Mytilus edulis: one gene and its partners. The protein of the gene in region 1 binds, or shares a complex with, the protein of each later gene. Links are inferred from orthologs where the notes say so. Each region holds a gene or a part of one and is shown on either strand. Other genes may lie near its edges.

Region 1 (6,970 bases):
TATGATCATAAACAAGCTTCTGTCCAAGTTTGGTAGAAATTCAGTATAGTTTAAGAAAGTTATTAAAATTTCAAAAACTTTAACCACAGAGTGAATATTTGTGGACGCCGCCGCCGACGACGCCGAGGGAATGTAGGATCGCTTAGTCTCGCTTTTTCGAATAAAGTCGAAGGCTCGACAAAAATGTATGTAGTTTCTGTTACAGCTTTTTGATTGTGTACTTCATACATATAAATGTCAGGTTTGCTAATTAGATGACCTTGAACTTATATACTATAGAGTAATATGGGGTTATGAATTTATACCACATGGCAATACTTTGGTTGTGAATTGATTTTTACAATGGATATTAGTTCTTTATTTAAATAACTTTTGGTGTTAACTTTTAATTTAGGCTGTGGCTATTTTGCCCGCATCAGCAAAATAAAATAACAATTTCAAATTTTGCTGGCTCTGATTAAATATCTAAATTCAAGAAGTCAAATTAAAATAGCTTTTTTCTATAGAAATGGTTTATAATTTTGTTTACACATACATGACATATATACATTTCAAAGAACTGACTATTATTTCAAAAGCAAGTTAGTTGAATTCAAACATTTTTGTACATGTCTGTGGTTGACTTTTTTATATTTTTTATTAAATTGTTGATGCACTGAAATTTTTAACATGTATATTTTTTTTTATAAAATAAAGAAAAAAACCTTTTTTTAATTCTTATGCATACATGTAGCATTATATAGAGTGTGTGACTGATTTTCGAAATTATTTCAGCTGCATGTACATGGTTTGATACAATTTCATTGCAACAAATGGGATGCTCTTTATGATTTTTTTTCTTTTAACTTTGACTGATAAATGTTTTTAAACAATTATATGTACATTTTTGTATCTCAAATATTATTAGCTGTTTCTGGGAACAGTATATGTCAGTATATCTGTTTATATGTTCCTGGCTGTTTTCTTATTGAAATACTGGTGTATCAGTAATTATTTAATTCTTTTAAGTTGACAGTGCACATTTTCATAGAACTTTTCAAAAGCAAAATCAAATTTCCTCTTTACAAAGTACAGGCAAATAACACAGTTATTATTTTATTGCTGGTGCCAGTAAAATAGCCATTTCTGCAGCTTGAATTTAGATATTTTAATCAGTGCCTACAAAATAGCCTCTGCCTTTAATTCATGCAAGCACCTGTTCATTACTGAAGAGCAATATTAGTATTATTAAAGTATATAATCTTTTACATTTTGTGAATGTTTAATTTGAAAACAATACAGTTAATGTTATGAATAGGTCCTTGTATAGTCACAAGTGTTTCTCGTGGCACCAAGAACGAGGGTTGATTTGAATATACACGTAACAATGTAATGTATAGTATTAACTGAATAGTATAGTCACTGTGTACATGGTGTAGCTGTATCAGGTCCATTTGCGCCCAATACACTTTCACATCCCACATGTTCGCCCCATAAACTTTCGACCCAATTCTTATTCAAATTCCAGTTGCATTATTAGATTTTTTTTTATACATGTACAAATTTATTCTACCAAAATTAAAATTTAGGAATTATTATGTGAAATATGTGTTTTTTTTCTTTTTTTTATTATTGATTTGATGATTAATTATTCAAGGTTAATTATGTATGATTGCTGATAATTGCTATTCATACACAGCCAAAGGTATTATTATTGTGTGTTTGAAAATCTGGTTGTTGTTTTAGCCTGCTTTGAAGTAAATACTGCATGTATTTAGTTACATTGTGTAAGTAAAATGTAGTATGAATAAAACATATTTTTGAACAGCTTGATCCCTTTGTCATGTTTGTTCCCACTTTATTTATATTAGAAACAATGATTTTTTTTGTGTATAGCAATGCACTATTTAAACCAAAACATAGTTATTTATTCAACACAAAAAAAAACCAAAACATTGTCAGATTTTCACTTACATGACTTTATTTTGAAACAATGAAAAAAAAAATGTCTATAGCAATACACTAACCATGGAAACATGACTTGCGCCAAAGGCACAAAAACTTGATTACAAAATTATATAAAAAAAAGTGCAAACATTTAGGGAGCGAACAGACTTTGGTTGCAAATGTCTAGGGTGCGAAAGTGAAAGGGGGTGAACATGAAAGGGCACGAATGTAGGCGAACTGACCAAATTCTTTTGTGGAAGTCTACTATACCCTATATGAGGATAGTAATGGGGATACCTTCATGACGTATAACGGTAAAAATTCTTGCCAAATGATGTTAACGATAATTTTTAGTGCATGACAATAAAATGTACACTTTCTTTTAGACGATATAACAATCAGCGGAATTTGACAAATCACGCTATTTTTCCCCCCAAAATAATGGTAACGTAATTATTTTTGAGACATTTGACGAATCACGGTAAAAAGTTAAACAATTTGACATTAACCGTAGCCAGTAATGACCGTTTGACGCCTGACGGTAAAGGGCATTAACACTCTCCTATATACACTTACAACTGACTTTAAATTATAAATACATGTAATTGTAGGTCATTGTAGGTCTTCTAAAAAAAATTCAAAAAATGCACTGGCACTTGTTTTATGTGAAACGGAAAAGGAAGACCTCTACCATCAAATGAAACAAGTGCATGTGCATAAATCGAGGCATACATTTATGTCTGGCACATGCATCCATCTCAACCGACACTGTCACTGGCAGAGTCTTCCAGTGACACTCACTGACAGTGTCGGTTGAGATGGATGCATGAAGCTAGGCTATTTACCTGTATGGATCATCTTCTGGATCGTCGTTTAAGTCCTCATCTGACAGCTTCGTTGCACTGTCGATACGTTCAAATCCTTCACTACTCAAGAAATCTTGCCAGGCTTTAGACATGGTGAAAGTGTAGCGAAAGTGATTGTTCCAGAATAAAATATGCTAAATTTTTCAGTTACTGGTTTGGATCTTATTTATTGTTGGTTGAGCCAACGCACTGAGCGAAAATAAATCTGGAACCAGCAGTCATAGTAACAGACCGGTACCGGTTAAAGTGAGAATATTTTCCGAATAGATTATCCGCAAGGAAATAAATAGTTTTACCGACAAGAAAATATATTTTTTGAAGAAGAAAAAAAGGTTCAGAATTATCTCTGTGGTATTTTGTTCTTTTATTTACTTAATGACTTATTTCATTGTGCAATAAAAACTTTTAAATGGTACGTTGTGTTCATTATTTATTTTTTAATTTTAGGTTATCACATTTACCATAAACAATACACTGGTTTAAAATCCTAAACAGAACCAGTAACATTCCACTGAATATTTACATCTACTATCAGAAATGTCAAAAGGGTTAGAATTTCTTCTTCCATGACACCTTTTAATTTCTGTCAATTTCATGAAAGATTCTGTTACAGAGTTCAGCCTTTTGAAAACCACAAAAAATCAACCTTCATATCTCTAACACTGAGTAACAGTAAGAAATTGATCACTTAGGAGATAACTGTATTGTATATTAAGCTCCGGCGGCATCAATTTGGGATTTGATGGTCGCAAATCAAGTTTACTGGCGACGCGTTAGCTGAAAACAGAAAACAACGTTAAAACATGTATTTAAAATCTGTCATATGCCGTCTGCCCTTGCGCGTACGTCCCATAGCATCAATTGACAATTGATGCCATGTAAATAAGTGACGTTATCCAATCAAAATGAACGTTACAAACGATGTTGCATTAGAATAAACATTTAATGAATGGCTATTATTTACTTTGAATTTATTGAACCATAAAACTAATTTTTGACTCTTCACATTGAATAATCCGCAATAGATTATTGCCATTCATTATAAATAAATTTCTATCAAAAATAAGGCTCAAAGAACTTTTTATATTATATATATTAACAACGTCAGAGTGGGCGTGTCGTCTTCAAAATTGACAACATTAATAATAAAACTAAAAATTTTAACCAATCAGAAGACAGTATATACACCAAATTTATTTATTTGAAGAACTCTCAAAACAGGGGTTTCCCAAATTTTGGACACACTTTACTCAAAATGTTAAAAAGGTGAAACCATACATACAGAAGATTTTATGAAATTAAAGTATGTAATGAATTGTTTCACACAATATTATCCAATGCAAGGTTTTATCATTTTGATAAACATGATAAAGTGAAGTTATAAGTCTTAGGTGCACTGATACACCAGACTACACCGTACATGTACCGGTACTTCATTCTACTTATCGCTATTTGTCTGCCATTAATATAAGGCAGGCATATAACCTGTGAATGGGGACGAAGTCTGTATTTTTTTTTTTGAATTCAAACATGTTGATAAAAGAAACGGAAATACCATAATGTTTCCAATATTGGTTCTGTTGTTAGGGATTTAGTTGTGACGTTATTTAAGTTATGACGTCATATTCAATGTAAACAAAGAAACGCTGTTATCCAGGTAATGTTTTTTCATATCAAACAATTATTAAAAATGATTAGGTGTTGAATTCCTTCCTATATTTTTGTTGATATGTTGATAAATATATATTTTATTCAAAGTCTCATGCAAACAAGATCGGAAACGGAAGAAACTGGAAACGGAAGTAGATCTGAAAAAAAAAGTTAACGATTTTGAGTTCATTAGTAGAATGAAAAATTCAGGAAATTTTCCCGATTTTTTTTTTTTTTTAATTGATTTTTCTACCGTAATTGGGGACATTGTCCCATATTAATCATATTACTGGACATCACAACTTGGTCACCTTAAAATTTTGATGTCACAATAGAAATTGTCTGATGCCACTAGGAACATATATATATTGATATTCGATATACTGTTTCACAATACACCTTATCGCTTTTTTGTCCGCCATTACTGGATATCACACGGGTTCCTGTAAAAAGTTGACGTCATAAAACAAAATATCTGACGCCACAATGGAAAAGTGATTGTTGTATGCGTCAAAAGTTCAAGCAGCCGGGTCAGCCAGGATTAGCGATAAGGTGTATTAGGAAAAGAGATTGTTGCACAATGTCAAAATTTTAAGTGTTGCAGAATCCCAAATAACAATAAGGTCCCTAGATTAGTTGTATTTTCTGATAAGGTAACACTAAAATAATGATAGCCAGGTGAGAAATGCAGGCTTTGGAGTTACAAAGCCTCCTGTCTTGGTATACATGGTATAATACAGTAACTGTTTGCCAAGAAAGATGTATAAAAAACAAAGGATAACTTAAAAATAGATATTATATAAACTTATCTAGACTATTTTTAATCAAAGTTCCTACATACTATTATAAACTCTAAATTGTCAAAGCATGATAGACAAGTGGTGAATACATTAAACAGAGGACAAGAAATACAGAAAACCAATACAAAATTTGTAGTGCTAAAAATGCATATATATGATCTATAGTTACAGATATTTTAATGGAAAAAAAAATCTTTGCTTTCAGACTAGAAAAATCTTTATGGGATGTTGCAATACAGGAATCAAATGAAAGTAAAGGTATGATATCAGTATTTATTATACGACCGCAAAACAATTTTTGCGTCGTATAATACTATATCATGTTAGGATTGACTTTGGGAGGTTATGGCTCAAACAAATTAGAAATTAGGGGCAAAAAAAGAGGGAAAACTAGTTTTTCTGGTTAATGGACAATTAAGACAATTTAAAACCAGTGTAAGGGAGGTAATCCAATTACATTTAAAATACAATGTTGTCTATGTTTTGATTAACCTCCCTTACACTACTTGTAAAATATGTAAAAAGAAATGTCAGGTTTTGGACATGTAAAAAAATATATAAATAATTCAAACCATATAACCAATTCTAAGCTCATTGACTACAGTTATTCTGTGTCAGAAACCTATTGTGTGTCAAATATTTAATTACAATCCAAATTCAGACCTGTATCAAGCGTGAGTATTGTCTCCATTTTTGCCCCAACTGTTCAGGGCTGTACCTCTGCGGTTGTATTCAGCTGCGCTCAGCGAAGCAATTTATTCTCTATAATGTAATGTTGAGATTATGGATACAATACAGAAAAGAAAAGATATGTGAACTGGTATCCATCTATGACACAAAATTTAAATCAATGAAAAAAACACATAGCAAAGGAACAGCGCTTTTATTGTTGTTCTTCATCTGATAGTCACATTGAGACCTTCAGCATGGAGCAAAAAAAAATTCACTGCATCACTGCAAGTATTAGACAACCCTTAGCACATACAATGAAGAATATTTACACCTAAATGATTTTAATAAAATTCATTAAAATTTTGCGAGGACATACCCCATTCTCAAAATTCTGACTAGAAGGTCATTGCCACGTGGTTTAATAAAGTTATTCTATGGAGAGTTGATGACCTCAAAATAAAAATAAATCTTCATCTCAATTTAAAAAGTAAATAAAATAGCAATGAATTTTGAAACCTCTGGAAAATTATATGTTGTCATTTTAGCTGAAGGTGCTACTGGAGAAGAATCATCAGTGTTTATTGTAGGAGCAAAAAATTCAGTGAGTATTTTTCTGTTGATATTCTTTTGAGTCTTTTTGAGAAATATTGAATGGAAGGTTTGTAATGTTTTTCACCTCCGGGTGTGAAATGTTCTTGCTGTATTGAAGACCCATTGTTGGCCTTTGGCTGTTTTCCGCTCTTTGGTTGGGTTGTTGTATCTTTGACTCATTCTCCATTTCCATTCTCAATTTTATGATGTACCAGTAAATGTTTTGATAGAGAAGAACTATCATACATTTGAAATTTTCCACCTGTGACATCACTAGTACAGTATACATTAGTGTTGAGTGTTGACTGAATCACAGTGAAACACAAGTGACTTTGAATGATCTGATATACAGAGAGATATATATTTGAGAGTGAATCATATGGTTAATGTTTGTCACTTTTTAGTTTATGTTTGTTTGGAGATATGGTTCAAAAGTAACTTTTGTTTTTGTTTCAAGTTCAAAAT
Region 2 (7,809 bases), on another chromosome or scaffold:
ATCATTTTTTCAATTCACACAGCAAAACATTATTCACACAAACATCAAGAATATTGTAGTGATATACTTGAAAAAATACTTTTGAAGGAAATTACCTTAACCGTTTAAATAAGTAATTATCAGGGCTATTCACATCTGAGGATTAATTGTTAAGTTTATTTTCTTTACATGTTTAATGCAGAAACAAAATGAATATATATTCATCATCTAATTCAGTAAAACTAAAATATGATATATGGATGCATACTCATCCTTTTATAAAGCTTCAATTATTTAAAAGGAGATAAAAATAATAAAAAAAAGTAGATACTCTTAATTTCATTGACAAAAGTCCACCTGATAAAGTACTAAATAAATTTAATAAGTTAACTTTAGGAGTAAAAAAAATGCTCTTGTAATATAGCTGCTCGATCTGAATTAGGCAGCTACCCTATTGATTGCTTTATAAAAAGACAAACTCTTCTTTTCCATAATAGACTATTAAGGGAAGAAACTAGCCCCTTACTAAAAGAGACACTAAATTTGGCAAAAACTTTACATAATGCAGGCATTTATTCTTGGTACTCATATGTAAATCATGTCAGAAGTCAAAATGATTTAGAAATTGTTAACCAAAATAAGGATAAAAATAATAGGCTAATATACAAACAAAATTTAGAAAACTCCTATGAAAATTTATATAATGATTAAATATTAAATTTACAAGAGAATAGCAAACTGCAACTTTTAAAAAAAATAAAGAAAAGCTATAACTTTGAACCATACCTACTTTCTCAAAACTTTAAATATCATGAATATAGACAACTAATTCGTAAATTTCGAATAAGTGACCACTGCTTATTAATCACTGTTAATAGAAACTGGTAGATACTGGAAAATTCCCAGAGATTTAAGACTATGTAAACATTGTGATGTACTAGATGATGAGTTTCATTTCTTTTTTAAATGTAAAATAAATGAATGATTAAGAAAAGAATTTTTAAATGAAAATAAATATAACTTAGGCCAACTAAAATTAATTAGTAGATTTTCATCCAAAGTTTTGAAAAAAATGGGGCGGGTGGGAGGATTTTATTTTTTAAATTTTATTCAATTTGAAACCTTCTTGTGGCATGAACTTCATATATATGCAAGTGATATAATTACAAAATTTAGCTTATACCATGTAAATGTTTAAACATGTATAAAGAATCGTACATAATTCTTGAATAAACATCTCTGATTTGCAACGCGGACTGTTCTACATGCAATTGCTACTTTAGAAACATATTTTCAGCAAACAGTAAAACCATGGAGAAATTCTCTATTCATTTGACTACCAACTCCAAATTTATTTTGCTCTCTAAGCAATGGTTTGTAGTCCCCATAAACTTATGCAAATGCAATGGTATGCAGCACAAGTATTATGAATAAAATGAACACTCAAACAAGTGTTGCCAGGAAAAGTAAAGTTGGCGCTTTTAAGATTCTCAAGTTATGCAAGAAGTGACACATATATAATTACATTGTAAATGGTATTTTGTGTTTTTAAACAAAAACAATAGCCATAGGTAAATCTAAGGGTTTTCTATTACATAATGTGTATGTTTGCCGACTTTTTGAACTCTTTTTTTTCTACCAATTTGTTCCACGATTCTTGAAATTTGGAAATCCTTCACAGCCCACATTTGCTTACACAAAGTCAATGTATTATTACATAACTCCACAATTTTCTGATGAAAGAAATTTCCAATTTGAGACATACCGCGATTTGCGTTGGACACAGCGTATTTAATACTCGTAACCCGAATATTTCATGCCCTTCTGGTAATCTTTATATATTCTCCGTAGATTATTCTGTCATCATTGAGCAGCAGATTTTGTCAACATAATCGTTTTAAAGTACTCGAAACAAGAAGTATGAAAACCGAAATTGTATAAACAGGAAGTTCGAATGAAACGAAATTATTGACGGTTACCGTTAACGGAAATGAACACAATGCGGAAATCGTAAATTTTGCAAAATAAAAAAAATCGGGGCAGGACGTTTTCACAGGGGCGGGCGGGAATGAAAATCTATCAATTAATTTTAATTGGCCTTAAATGATATAGATAAATTTAAACATATCCTCAATCCTGAAACCAAACAGGACACTTGCAATATAGGCTCCTTTTTAAAAAAGTCACTAAGGGAGACTCAGTCCTTGATATAATTTGAATCTCTTATATATATATAAACGTATTTACACTTTTGGTATTAAGCTGAATCTTGCCTCCGAATCACCTTTTGACGTCAAGCAACAATCACTTTTAAATTGTGACGTCAAATATTTTAAATTATCATGATTATGATGTCAAAGTTAACGGGAACCTGTGTGATTTTACGTAATGGCGGACAAATTTGCATACAAGTGTAAATACGTCTATTAATTTAAAGAAAGACAAGGATTATAGTTCAAAGTGTCTGCATTGTTTATTTTCATTGTTTTATATATCATGTACATGTTAACTGTATATTATGTATAATGTTTTAAGCCATTGGCCAATATGGGTGTAAAGTGCTTTTCCATTATCAATGATTATGTTTATATTAAATGAAAGGTCCAAGGATTTGGACTTTTTTTGTGGTATTAAAACTTGCAATCAGTCAATGAATATAAATAGGGATCAGTGAAGTTACTCTGTGCAAACATTCTCTTGCTACTCTTCATAGGCATGATGAGTTCTTATATAGTCGGTTTTCTGTAGGATTTTCGTGTTGTCTGTTGACAAGTCCAGCAAGTGTTGAGTTGTGAATGTTGAGGCATTTTACCTTGATTTTCGAAATCTATTTTTTTTACAAATAAGGAAATGTTTATACTGTTTAACTGTATTTTATGGTGGTGTTACTTATAATAATGCAGGTTTTTTTTCAAAAAAGTATTTTGTTTACCTGTCATTTGTATAAAAAGCAAAAAGTGTACGTTGCAAATGTTGTGCTCTTTTAAAAATGGCGCGCCGATTTATTTATTAGTTTCGTAAAGATGAATTCTAAAAATATAAATGTATATTCAAAATCATCCGATTCATTTTATTGTGAGTATTTGAATTTTTGAACTATTATTGTGAAATTTAATATGTCATTTACGAAAATTTGTATTGGGATTTTCTATTTTATTTATAGCACAATGTCATGACGTCATAATTCGAAAGGATATCCCTAACGTCACGTTTTATTCCATTCAACATCACATGCATCTTCACTACGCATTTTCTTAAAGAATGAAAAAAGTAAAATGCCAAATGAGGAGTCAATTAACCAGGCAGAAGTTATATGGAACTATTTGAAACTCAACCATACACTCGAAAAGGTAAATTTCCAAATATTATAGCATGTGATTTAGAGTCGTTTAGACTGATAAAAATTATAATTTCTTGTATAAAATATTTATGTGGGTAATAACACGGATTCAAACGATACATTGAAACTAGAATGAAATAAAACTTAAAGAAATGACGCTGGTACATTTAGAAAGCCAGATGTATCCGAAGTTTAACTCCAAACAAAACTTGAAGAACCACCGAGTATCTTATATGAGGGGGAGGACAGGGGTAAGGGAGACAGGGAGAAAGGGGGTAGGAGAAAGGAGGTGGGAGAAAGGAGAAAGGGTGTAGGAGAAAGGAGAGGAAGGCTGGGAGAAAGGAGAAAAAGTTGGAGAAAGGAGAAAAAATAAAATATCTCTCCTTTTAAAAAATGATCTAATATTTCAAAAAAAATATCTCAAAAGGAGATGTTTTAATCTAATGGGAGAAAGGAGAACCGGGGTAGGAGAAAGGAGAAGAGGGGTGGGAGAAGGGAGAAGGGTACCCCCTGTCCTCCCCCTCTTATATATATATATATATGAGTTTCCAGTGGTTAAGGGGGAGATTGAAAATAAGATGTGCATGGTGGTCTTTAAGTCTTGAGGTTAGTCACTGAAGAGTCTCGTCAATCTTTCATTTTCATTTTTATTTCAGACAGTGCCCCTTTGACCCTGGTTTCTCACAATTTCGATTTAAAAATGCTAAATACTTTACCTAGTTAGTCATGTTAGTGTCAATTGTCTTTCCATCTCTTTTGCTCATGATATTTATAATCTATAGTTTATATACAAATCGATTTTCCAGGGAAACTTCACCACTGATGCTAGGATACTAAAGATGTGAATCCATTGGGTTTTATTTTCGTGGTTTTTTTGGGGGCATATCAAATAATTTCACGATTTAAAAGTATGATACTACAAGAGTTTAACCAGATAGATATTATATGCACATTACAATCTAATTAAAATATTGATCCTTGATTTCGTTATACTTCATATGTAGTATAAAGAAATCAGAGATCAATATTTTAGTTAGATTGATGCACATAATAGCTTACTATGTTTTATATGTTATATATATGCCGAGTCATGCAGAAGAAAATATAAAAAAGAAGATGTGGTATAGTTGCCAATCAGACAACTGTCCACAAGAGACCAAAATGACACAAACATTAACAACTATAGGTCACCGTAAGTCTGTTATTCTAACCTAATCTTTATTCTATTATTTTTTTCTGAACGAAGATCACATGCGTTATGGGATGAACAGCCTGAATTGTATATTTCTAGTTCACTGAATCGATTCGGGCCCATTTCCAAACACCTCTGGTGTAGTCGGCCGAAAAATGTTAGTGTTATCCATTTGACATATCATTCTGTTAAATGCATTTGATTATCAATGAGTGGTACAAGCATTCGCTATAGCCATTTAGAAGGAACACATCCTTGTTTAATATTTTCTCCTTTTTCTGACCTTTAATTGTTAGTTAGTACGTATTATGTGCTCTGCTCTGCGTGTTTGACCGTCGTTAGTCCATCACAGATCAATACCCCTTTTACATTACCGTAAAACACCATGACCAAATAATCAGGTTTTTTCTAGGAGGAGTTTAATGTCAGTGTACTTGTTATTTTACATAATGTTAATTGTCAATGATATTAGGAATTTCAACGGTCCATGATTATATAACCAGACTGATCATGTCGATCATCGGCAATCAAATTTTACCATTGTAATTCAAAAAAACTTGATTCAGATTAATAAATATTCAAAATCTAATTTTGTTCTTGCCAAATTATTTCTAGATTTTATTAAAATTGTCATTTTCTTCTATTGTCATTTTGACTGATTGATTTTAGCGGATTTTTTTCCTTTTTTAGAGCGATTTGATTATCGTATTCGGGAATCCTGATATAAGGACAATAGAATATGCTTCAAAATTGTGGTTAGATGGATTTGCTAAATGGTTGATGATTACTGGGAATGAAGGAACACTTACAAAAGGTAAGGTTGGATATTTTAGTAGCATTCGAGTACTCCCTCATTGAAAAAGAAATGTATACTTATATCGTTTATTGACCGGTCAGAGCCTTGTGGACTGGTTGTTACTGTATAGTCGCTTTTATTCTATACATTTCTATATATTTTTTTAAGTGTGGAGATTTGATTCAAGGGGTATGTGCCTTATAAACGACAAACATTTATAATTCTCTGGACATGGAAAGCTTGTATGATATTCCTATAATACTAACTGAAAATGTATTTTTTCGCTCTGCGTTTATTTCTGAGAACAAATAGGAGATATTTTGATTAATTTTTATTTTGCAGGAAAATGGCTAAAACCTGAGGCACAAATATTCAAAGATATTGCCGTTAGTCAGGGTGTACCAGAGGAAAAGATTCTTTTGGAGGAAGAAGCAACTAACACCGGAGAAAATGTAACATTTTCATATAAAATACTTGAGAAGATTGGTCTACTGGATTCAGTTAAAACAATAATTTTGGTTCAGATGCCGTTTATGGAGAGACGAACATATGCAACATTTGCTAAGCAGTGGCCTGGCGGCATGAATCAGTTAGACAAAGTTTGTGTTACGTCGCCTGCCATAGATTTAATGTCATACCCTAACGATGATGTCGGTAATTTGGATAAAATAATGGAAATGATGGTTGGTTGTCTCCAACGTGTCAAAAATTACCCTAAACTTGGATTTCAGATTGAACAAGACATTCCAGATAATGTTTGGAACATTGGAGAGAACTTGTTGTCCATTGGACAATACTAGTTTCAATTAACTATTAAAATATACACTTGAACTCGTTAAATCATTTATGTTTGAATTATTGTATTTTCATAGCGTTCTGAATAGAGGAATTGGTGAGCATATTTTCAAATTTGGCAACTTCAGCAAAAAATCATATAGCTATCACTCGCCTTTTTTCAATAGATATATTTATTAAAACATAGTTAGATGAGGTTTGACTGTTTGAAGAACAGGTCACCGCAAGGTCTTCAACAATGAACAAACCCTATATCATGAGTATAGCGAGGTATGCCAAATGTGAAATAATTCAAAAGAGACTGATTAATTGGTTGTTTGTTGCTTTAAACACATTTGTAAGCGCGCAACCAAACCCCACAACTATCGTTTCATCTCGGCTTACAGTAAGTGTCCAACAACTGATATGTATAACCTTTTAAACAGATCCCTGACTTCTATCAAAGATTATTTTTTAATTATATTGAGCATTCAAGTCTTCCAAACAAAGTTTCTTCTTCTTTGACCTACTTCTCTAAAACCATCTGATGACAAGTCATCCGGGGCAGATATTCATGGGGACTTCGTAACAGCATCTTGCTAATATCATGACAAATTAAGTTATTTTTGGTGTAAAAAACTCTTTGTTGGGTGTCATAGATAACGTTCGTGCTATTGATGGTTCCTTCATTTCTGTTGACAGTCATAACTTTTCGACTGTCTACACTACACTTCTACACAATCTATCTCTAGGACTTTCACACAATATATGTCTTTACTACAATTGCATACACTGTGACACACACCATATCTACTCTTCATTGGCAATCATACTACATATCTTTTTTTTTTATTTATTTATTCGGTTTTGATCGACCTGTGATTGCGAGTACACTTATATCGTTGCTTGTCTTTTGTTGGGTTTTTTTCTGTGCTTAGTCTCGATTTGATGAGTTGGACCCTTTCCAACTAATTTTTATAGTTTGTTCATAAATTGTATTCAAATAAGGCACCCTATGTCTCTATTTCCGTATACAAATTTATTTTGTGACCATATTCGACTACCTGTTTTTTCAATGATTGTTGTTTACTTCCTCGGAATTTCTGTTTCTTTGATTTGACACATGCAGTTAAGTGTCGTCTTCTAGTTCAATATGGAGGTTTACAGAATAGAGAGTATTGGACAAAAAAATAAAGAAGAGAGAAAAGTAACTAATAAAAGAAAGAAAAGAGAATAGAGAATAATGAATTTACAAAAAGTATTAAGAAGAGAGAAAAGTAACTAATAAAAGAAAGAAAAGAGAATAGAGAATAATGAATTTACAAAAAGTATTAAGAAGAGAGAAAAGTAACTAATAAAAGAAAGAAAAGAGAATAGAGAATAATGAATTTACAAAAAGTATTAAGAATAGAGAAAAATGGCCTAAAAAATAAAGATCACAGAAATGAACACCCCCCCCCCCCACCCCCTTAAAAAAATCCAGCCCCTCCTGGGATTTTTGCAAAAGAGAGTGCAGATACCAAGAGATAAACTTACATTACAGCAATATCATGGACCAAAAAAAAAAAATCCACAATAACACGACTTTGACTGTTAAAAACGAGAGTGGCCAGTTTCTGCTCCCCTAGTGGCAACCGTCGTGCACAATATCCGTAAAGCTAAAAGGTCAGTTAGAGACGAGATTTGATAAACTTGTTGTAAATTCAACACAGGTAAATAATATAAGCA
Region 3 (7,411 bases), on another chromosome or scaffold:
GATTTCTAAAATATGAGGATTGCTGATTGTACTAAACATTACTAACATAGAAACAATAATAACAATATTTCCTAAAAAAAACCCACAATTGGTGTATTTCTGAATACTTACTACATTAACATATAGTGTTATTAAAAATGTACCAATAGATGGTTTGCAACTTTGATTTCAAAACTTTTGAGTAATTATTCAAAAACGAATTAGGACTTTTTTACCAAAACCAAATTATTGCGGAAGTATTTCCTTATATTAGCTTTAAAATACATATTATCTTTAGTATAGTTAAATTGATTGATGGGTGTAACAATTCTTGAATATCAATACTGGAGCAGTTATTTCCAGATCTGGTATACATTTTTAATGAACTCTGAGACAATGCAGAGCTTGACACATTGTATAGACACCTGACTTGAAGTGATGCTCTATATTGGATGTATGTTGGCTGTGTCACTTGTTGCTGTCTAATTGACGTTTACCCACACATTGGCGTATAGACCGGCGTGCACAAAGACAAGACAAGACAATTTTATTCTTTAAAACCACTGTATACACATTGGTACAAAGAATGAAATAATAATACATAGTATACAAAATAAATTGCGTACAGAGAAAATTGATAAAGTCCGTTTACCTTAGTTGCACGTCAGGGGAACGCTTTAGCAATCGTTAAACGTGCGTTGCATACGTTTGAAGTACGTCGAAATGCAGAGATATACACTTGGTTCAACGCTAAAACTCCAAGAAATCAGCCCAAGCGTTTGCCAAGCGTTAATACATGTACGCCACAAACGCGTTTCAACGCTACAGATAAGTTTGAGACACGTTTAGGGCACGTGTATACAAGATAGTTCGGCTCTAACTAAAACGTATGCGGGTATGTTTGTAACAAACACCCCATAATTAAACGTCCCAGACACGCCGAAAGCAAAGATTATCGTCCCAGATACGACCGGGACGCGTTTCAAAAACGTTACTTTTAAGGTGGTACCCAACGCTTTCACTTAAATTAATTTGGCTCATTTAATTTTCATAAAATTTTGACAAAGTATTTACTCTAACCCTTTGACAAAAAGATAAAAAAAAATTAAAATTTGAACCAACCGTTTTGTCAGAAAAATTACACTGGTTATATAGCAATTTGACAAACACCAATTTTGATCAATGAGAAGCTTAATATTCCTCTTACAGCACACCATAATTACAACGTTTAGGCCAGTGACTTTACAGAGTTATCCCCCTGTAGTGTTAGGTACCACCTTAAAGAGACTTTTTTTTCTTCGTAGCGTGCACTCCATTTACGTTAGACAAACGCCTGACATACGCCAAATATGTTACTTGAAAGCCCGATAAACGCTTATGTACGTTATTCGTGCGTCTAATGCACGCTTAAAGTTCGTTCATCATACCTTGCCTTACAATAGTTACTCAAAGTCGTTTGAATTCTACTTTTTTTTATTTCCTGCTGAAATATAAAAAAGAGAGCTAATTATATCCTAGACACATAGTAAATGAAAACATTACATCAGGTTATTTTAAATCAAAAAGTACATTAATCCATAGTGTTAATGAATGTAATGTGTTTGTAACTGCTGTGAAATATATATTTTGTGACTTAATTTAATTTCAATTTGGCATTCAAAATGTGCTAAAATGGGATTTATTCTATATTTTGGAATGAAAGCATTTTACATAATTTGGATTATTTCTCAAATTATAAATATTCTATTTACCAATTTAACGTTTTTCATTTCAAGATTAACATGATTAAAGAAACTTGTTATAGTTCAAATTTTAAATAAATTTTTCGCGAAAAAATGTTGTAACACTCGAAAACAAAGAAAGATCAATATTCGGTCGAACAAACTGAGAACCACACCAGACATTTAAACCTTCTGCATGTGTAAATTATATAAAATGTGTAAATTTCTTCATGTGTATATTGGATCTATGTATAGCTTTGTAAAACACAAATCAATAATACACAACAAACAACACTCAGCTTTATACATGTTATATAAATTAGTAAAACCTAAATTGAATAAAAAAGAACGACTTACCTTTTGTCGAGTAGAAGTAGTTAAAATGTGTTCTTAGATTCATTCGGTTGATTAACAGTACCTTCATCATCAACAAGTAATAGCTTTTCTAAAAAGCTAGCCGTCTCTTAGCTGAAAAGAGCTGAAAGTGTTTGAAAATTATAAAAGGCTAATACACTTTTTCTAATTTACCAAGATTTTTTTGGATAATGTATCAACACTGGAATGGTAGGGGTGATGTCTTAACTCGTGCCTTGATCGTTTGTATCTTTTTATCGTTTTAGTCTAAACAGATATGAGGGGAGCAAGGTGTTTAACTGTTATGCTGTTATGGGGCAATTTAATTCTTTGTTATCTGTTATTCTGAAAATATATTTGCTGTTAGATGTTATTGTCTTATTCTTTGTTAGCTGTAATATGGACACTAACTATGTTATAAATTGTTGTATGTCAAAATTACACGAAAAACATGTTGATAATTGGCATGCTGTTTTACATTCTGATAAATCTGTATCGGGCAGAGGTACTTACAGACTGTTTCAGGAAAATTTTGAACCGGAAGAATACTCCAAATAGCTTTACCCTTCAGTCACAGAAGTGCTTTGGCCAAATTTAGATGTGGTGTTGCTCCCCTAAAAATTGAAACAGGGAGATATGAAAATATTGTTTTAGAAAGTAGAGTGTGCCATATATGTGACGTTTTTATTGAAGATGAAGCGCATGTTTTATTAAGATGCCCCCTTTATGACGATTTTAGAAACCATTTATATTATGTTGCTGAAACTTTTAATGATAATTTTAATACTTTAGATGATAATCAAAAGTTAGTGTTTTTATTCTCAGATGTAAATATGATACGTGTGTGTGTCAAAACCTGTCATTTGATTTTAAAAATACGTAGAAATTTTAGATATTGTAAATAGTATTTATTTCATATTGTGTATTATATCTATGCATTTTAATACTCTCTTATAATTCTGTCTAGCCCCCTCCCCGGCTGAAGGCCCCCAGACGCTCTGAGAAAAATAATGCAAGATCATGCACTCTGAGCTATTTTTTCAACAATATTCTGGTCTCATAGCAATAACAAAAATTCATTGTATTTAAGACTTTTATGTTTTAGTGATAACATTAAAAAAAGATCGATATATATATGATGGATAGAGCAAAAATCGTAATTCTCATAATCCTTAATACCGATTCTGTCTGTCTTGTATTGACAATTTGTACTTAGACTTTGGTGATTTTTTTATGACTAGATTTAAATATAGTGACAGTGCAGTATTATACTTTAAGTACTATAAAAAAGAAGATGTGGTATGATTGCCAATGAGACAACTATCCACAAAAGACCAAAATGACACAAACATTAACAACTATAGGTCACCGTACTAGTACTGTTAAAGTCGACACTAGGGACCATCTTGACCTTGTTTTACGATATTAATGATTCTTTTATTGTTGGAGACCATCCAGTAACTATCAAGATGAAGAACAGGAATTAAACTTTAACAATTGATCGTTCGTATTTTTCTATACATTGACTTTGTGTGCGATTAGGTTCCGTGCACGTGTACTCAATATTCCTTTTTTTCTGTTAAAAGAGTCTGAACATGACTTAATACAAGGGTAACCCTTCAATGTAAAAGGTCATATGGCAATACATTGTTGTTGGGTTATTTTCAATTTTTTTGATACCGTGGAATTGGTGACCATATTTCAATTTAAACCATGTCAGCTTTCTAGTTTTACCTACGAAAAAAGCCAGTTTTGTTCTCTTTTATATCAAGTTCAATTCTCCATGCAGAAACGGCGATTCATTTCTGTGTCTTGTAGCATCGTATAGTCTTAAAATATTTTCTCGCACATTGTCTGGACATCGGTTGGCATGCAACATTGCAAAACCACACGTTTACAAATGAAAATCAACACTCAGACTAAAGTCATTAAGTAGGACAATAAATTAACAAAAGACAAACCCGGGACATAGAAGTACAAACAATAGACCATCAACTCTGATAACTAAAAGTAAAATAGAAACATGGATCACGAAAAACATGAAGGGGCTACACCAGAGAGTGAAGAAAACTGGCTTCTTGCAAGACACTTTCCGTCAAAAAAATTTGACAAAATATCTTTTTGTGTAGTTTTTTTGTTGTTGTTTTTTTTGAAATTTCAAACATGAGGCTTTTGCCTCATTTGCCTCAATGTAGTTACGGCCCTGTATTTTTACTTTCACAATTAGCCAACTTGCAGTAAGCAATGTAAATGCCTCAAAAAAATAATTCCGAATATTCTAGGTAGTGTCGAAATTGATTTTGTTTTAGTTTTGAAATAAGCCAATCAGATTACTCGTTTCATGAGGCGTGGGGTTTTTAAACGGAAGATGCTAAAGATGTCAACAAACATATTTTCCCCAGTTTACGAATAATAATACCCGAGTACCTTTATTGTAAAGATAAAAAGTGTATGCAATCATAGATGTGAACAATACGTGAGTTATAAGAGGATCGGAGTAATCTAAAGGGTTATAATTTGCAGATAAAACATAATTTTGTTCTTCTGTCGTTCTGAACAGGTCAGGAATAACCACCAATTGGTGGATTATACCTGAATTGACGTATATTAAATCCACCAATTGACATATAATGGTATAGAACAATTGGTGTATAATTCTTTGTTTTTCCAAAACAAATTATTCCACCAAAATGGAGCATTTTTCTTAAAACCGTATAATGTATGGTATGAAAACTTGTCAAACATTCCTAGTTTAGTATTGTAACATAACATATTGCATTTAATCAATAATTATATTTGAAGTTTCTTCTATTGTTATCTTGTCAATTCTTGATTGGCAAATTTACCTGTCTGCAGTCATATGATCACAGTACAACTCCAGAGGTGAATGGAGCTCTTTGTTAATATGTAACTTTCATTATCGCTATTTTGTGCATTTTTCTTTTGATCTTTTTTGTGATAATTCTCATATCATGCTTCTCGCTTGAGATGGAAAAAATATCTCTAGAAACTAAGGAGGCCACGTGGCCATGGTGGCATTGCTAACAAAATTGACATGAAATTGACAACGTTGTCATAGGTAAAATAGCGATAAACAGAGATTATTATTGGTCATCTGAACTCGATTGCTGTACCAGCTCAAGCGAGAAAATCAATCTCGTTGAGATGATCAACGATAATCTATAATTATCAAAAGTCAATCATGGTCAATAGCACAAATGTTTCAACAAAAGAATTGTTATACACATGCATTCTCAAGAGATGCAGCAGGCTTTGACAAAACTGAAACTTTGGGGGACTCAATAAGGGTCATGAAATAGGTTGCAAGTTGCAAAATCATGCTCCTATCTCACACTAGCATTTAATTACAAAAAACTTGCATTATACATCAATTGGTCTATACCAATATACCCCAATTGGTGGATTACGAAGCGTGGATTATACGTCAATTGAGGTATAATCCACCAATTGGTGGTTATTCCTGACCTGCTGAAGTTTTGTCATGTCTGAGGCCTGTGGGGGTCTCACTAATTAGCGACAAGTAGGTACGGAAAGTGATTTTTTTTAAATCAACTGATCTAAGAAAACTTGACCTCATTTTAAAGGCATTGTGAAGACATTTTCAAAACAGTTTCACTTTTATCAATACACATAATAATAACGAAGAAATAGAAAATTTTCAAAATGGTATTTTTTTACTATTCTGGAAAAACTGTTTCCTCTCTTTAAAAAATAATAAAATATATTTTTTTAATCATTTGGGTCATATCTTTGTTTATTTTGCTTCTTTTACATCTTGTTAGTCAATTTCAATCCTCCATATTAGTTTTTTGGTCAAAATAGAAGCATAAAGCATGAAAATGTCAACCACTCATCAGATTCTATCGTCCAAAGTCATATAACATGACGATACCTTTATACATTCCTTTTTTCAGAGCATCAGTTGGTATATTGAAAATGAAAAGTAAAACTTTATAAACATTTGAATGTAAAGAAACAAAATATAAATATGGATATTACTCTTTATATACAAATGTATATGTTAGTGTGTGTGTATAAAAAAGAAGATGTGGTATGATTGCCAATGAGACAACTCTCCACAAGAGACCAAATGACACAGAAATTAACAACTATAGGTCACCATACGGCCTTCAACAATGAGCAAAGCCCATACTGCATAGTCAGCTATAAAAGGCCCCGAAATGACAAATGTAAAACAATTCAAACCAGAAAACTAACGGCCTAATTTATGTAAAAAAAAAAATGAACGAAAAACAAATATTTAACACATCAACAAACGAAAACCACTGAATTACAGGCTCCTGACTTTGGACACGCACGTACATTGTACATACAGAATGTGGTGGGATTTAACATGTTAGTGGGCGCCCAATCCTCCCCATGACCTCACCTGTGACAGTACAACATAAGAACGAACTATAAAAATCAGTTGTACCATGAGAGACAAGAAAAGTTTTGAAATATGTCATCTGTCTTTGTATAGTCATGATAGTTTTAGAATGTTCCCTTTTCATTAACATTCTATTTAATGAAATATTCTTATTCTTATATAGCATGTATAGTGAATGCTTATAAATAAAAATAAACAACAACCTTCTAACAATTATTCTACAGGACTAAAATACCTGTTGCACTGAAAAACAATGAAAATAATATAACATTATTTTTATTCGAGAAATTTAACAAAATAATTATGTCAGATCACTGTAAATACTTGTATGTATAAAAGTAAAATAAATTCATATCTGTATATCAGTTATAATATTTATACAGGGAAATCTGTAAACCATTCTCATTCAGGACTGAAGTTCAAAATGCATTGAATGTGAATAGCATTCAAAGTTAACTGCCGCTACTGCATGGATTCCTATGTATGTTTTTAGTTGAACATGTTGAAAATACATATATTGATTGTTAAAACCACATTATTCAGTATCCTTACTATCTCGTGTGCAATGACAAGTGGTTGAACTATCATGACTATCTTTAAATCGCAATAAACTGGCTGTATAATGCACGGCTGATTTCCAATCAAAACTAAACCAAAAGTTGTCCATGCAAGGGAAATAACTCTGTAAACACAAAAAGGAGGGTTATTTATAAAAAATAATTTTGATATGAACACAGCTGTCTAGATTTATTTATTGGACCTAATTATTTAATTAATATATTAAACTTAATAAAAAAGTACATTTTATGGCTGTATAACGTTCCCTTGTATTTTTTTTGAAACGAATGTAACTTCCAAACCCTTGTTTGTACATCAAATATTTCACCGTATTCCCGAAAATTATAATATACAGAATTATGAATATTCATATAAAATCTATCAAAAG

The links. Proteins that work in one complex are often made in the same cells at the same time.
Region 2: the proteins of KIF-binding protein-like (region 1) and kinesin-like protein KIF15 are in contact, whole or in part, in a cryo-EM structure (PDB 6ZPH), measured with the Homo sapiens proteins. The link is inferred for Mytilus edulis from reciprocal best matches to the Homo sapiens genes KIFBP and KIF15. Residues at the interface, in NP_056449.1 of Homo sapiens: Lys26, Tyr33, Lys36, Ile106, Glu109, Ile147, Ser150, Glu151, Glu153, Thr208, His209, Tyr212, Tyr213, Gln216, Gln219, His220, Phe224, Gln238, Glu248, Trp249, Ile251, Asn252, Thr255, Gln258, Phe259, Asn262, Tyr415, Val416, Thr417, Glu421; in NP_064627.1 of Homo sapiens: Leu187, Glu189, Ile191, Lys192, Lys193, Arg231, Glu232, Arg235, Arg271, Met280, Arg281, Leu282, Lys283, Glu284, Ala285, Gly286, Asn287, Asn289, Arg290, Leu292, Ser293, Gly296, Gln297, Ile299, Ala301, Val303, Asp304, Val305, Gly306, His312.
Region 3: the proteins of KIF-binding protein-like (region 1) and kinesin-like protein KIF18A are in contact, whole or in part, in a cryo-EM structure (PDB 7RSI), measured with the Homo sapiens proteins. The link is inferred for Mytilus edulis from reciprocal best matches to the Homo sapiens genes KIFBP and KIF18A. Residues at the interface, in NP_056449.1 of Homo sapiens: Ser150, Glu151, Tyr212, Tyr213, Gln216, His220, Gln238, Ile251, Asn252, Thr255, Gln258, Asn262, Gly414, Tyr415, Val459, Asp460, Leu461, Asn462, Pro463, Gln464, Leu467; in NP_112494.3 of Homo sapiens: Glu181, Thr183, Gln184, Lys185, Gly186, Arg274, Phe275, Val276, Glu277, Gly278, Thr279, Asn280, Ile281, Arg283, Ser284, Leu285, Leu288, Gly289, Val291, Ile292, Arg314, Lys317, Asp318, Gly322, Asn323.

The regions. Positions count from the first base shown.
Region 1 is NC_092346.1:36,842,240-36,849,209, reverse strand, and holds the start of KIF-binding protein-like, read right to left. Parts: upstream 3,008-6,970; 5' UTR 2,885-3,007; coding exon 2,772-2,884; intron 1-2,771. Other genes in the region: cytoplasmic dynein 2 light intermediate chain 1-like, read left to right, coding at 3,330-3,340, 5,448-5,500, 6,460-6,515. UniProt on the Homo sapiens protein: Activator of KIF1B plus-end-directed microtubule motor activity. Required for organization of axonal microtubules, and axonal outgrowth and maintenance during peripheral and central nervous system development.
Region 2 is NC_092348.1:48,704,806-48,712,614, forward strand, and holds the start of kinesin-like protein KIF15, read right to left. Parts: upstream 3,026-7,809; 5' UTR 2,919-3,025; coding exon 2,912-2,918; intron 1-2,911. Other genes in the region: uncharacterized protein SCO4629-like, read left to right, coding at 3,255-3,329, 5,202-5,325, 5,650-6,107. UniProt on the Homo sapiens protein: Plus-end directed kinesin-like motor enzyme involved in mitotic spindle assembly.
Region 3 is NC_092350.1:77,030,846-77,038,256, reverse strand, and holds the start of kinesin-like protein KIF18A, read left to right. Parts: upstream 1-4,386; 5' UTR 4,387-4,563; intron 4,564-7,411.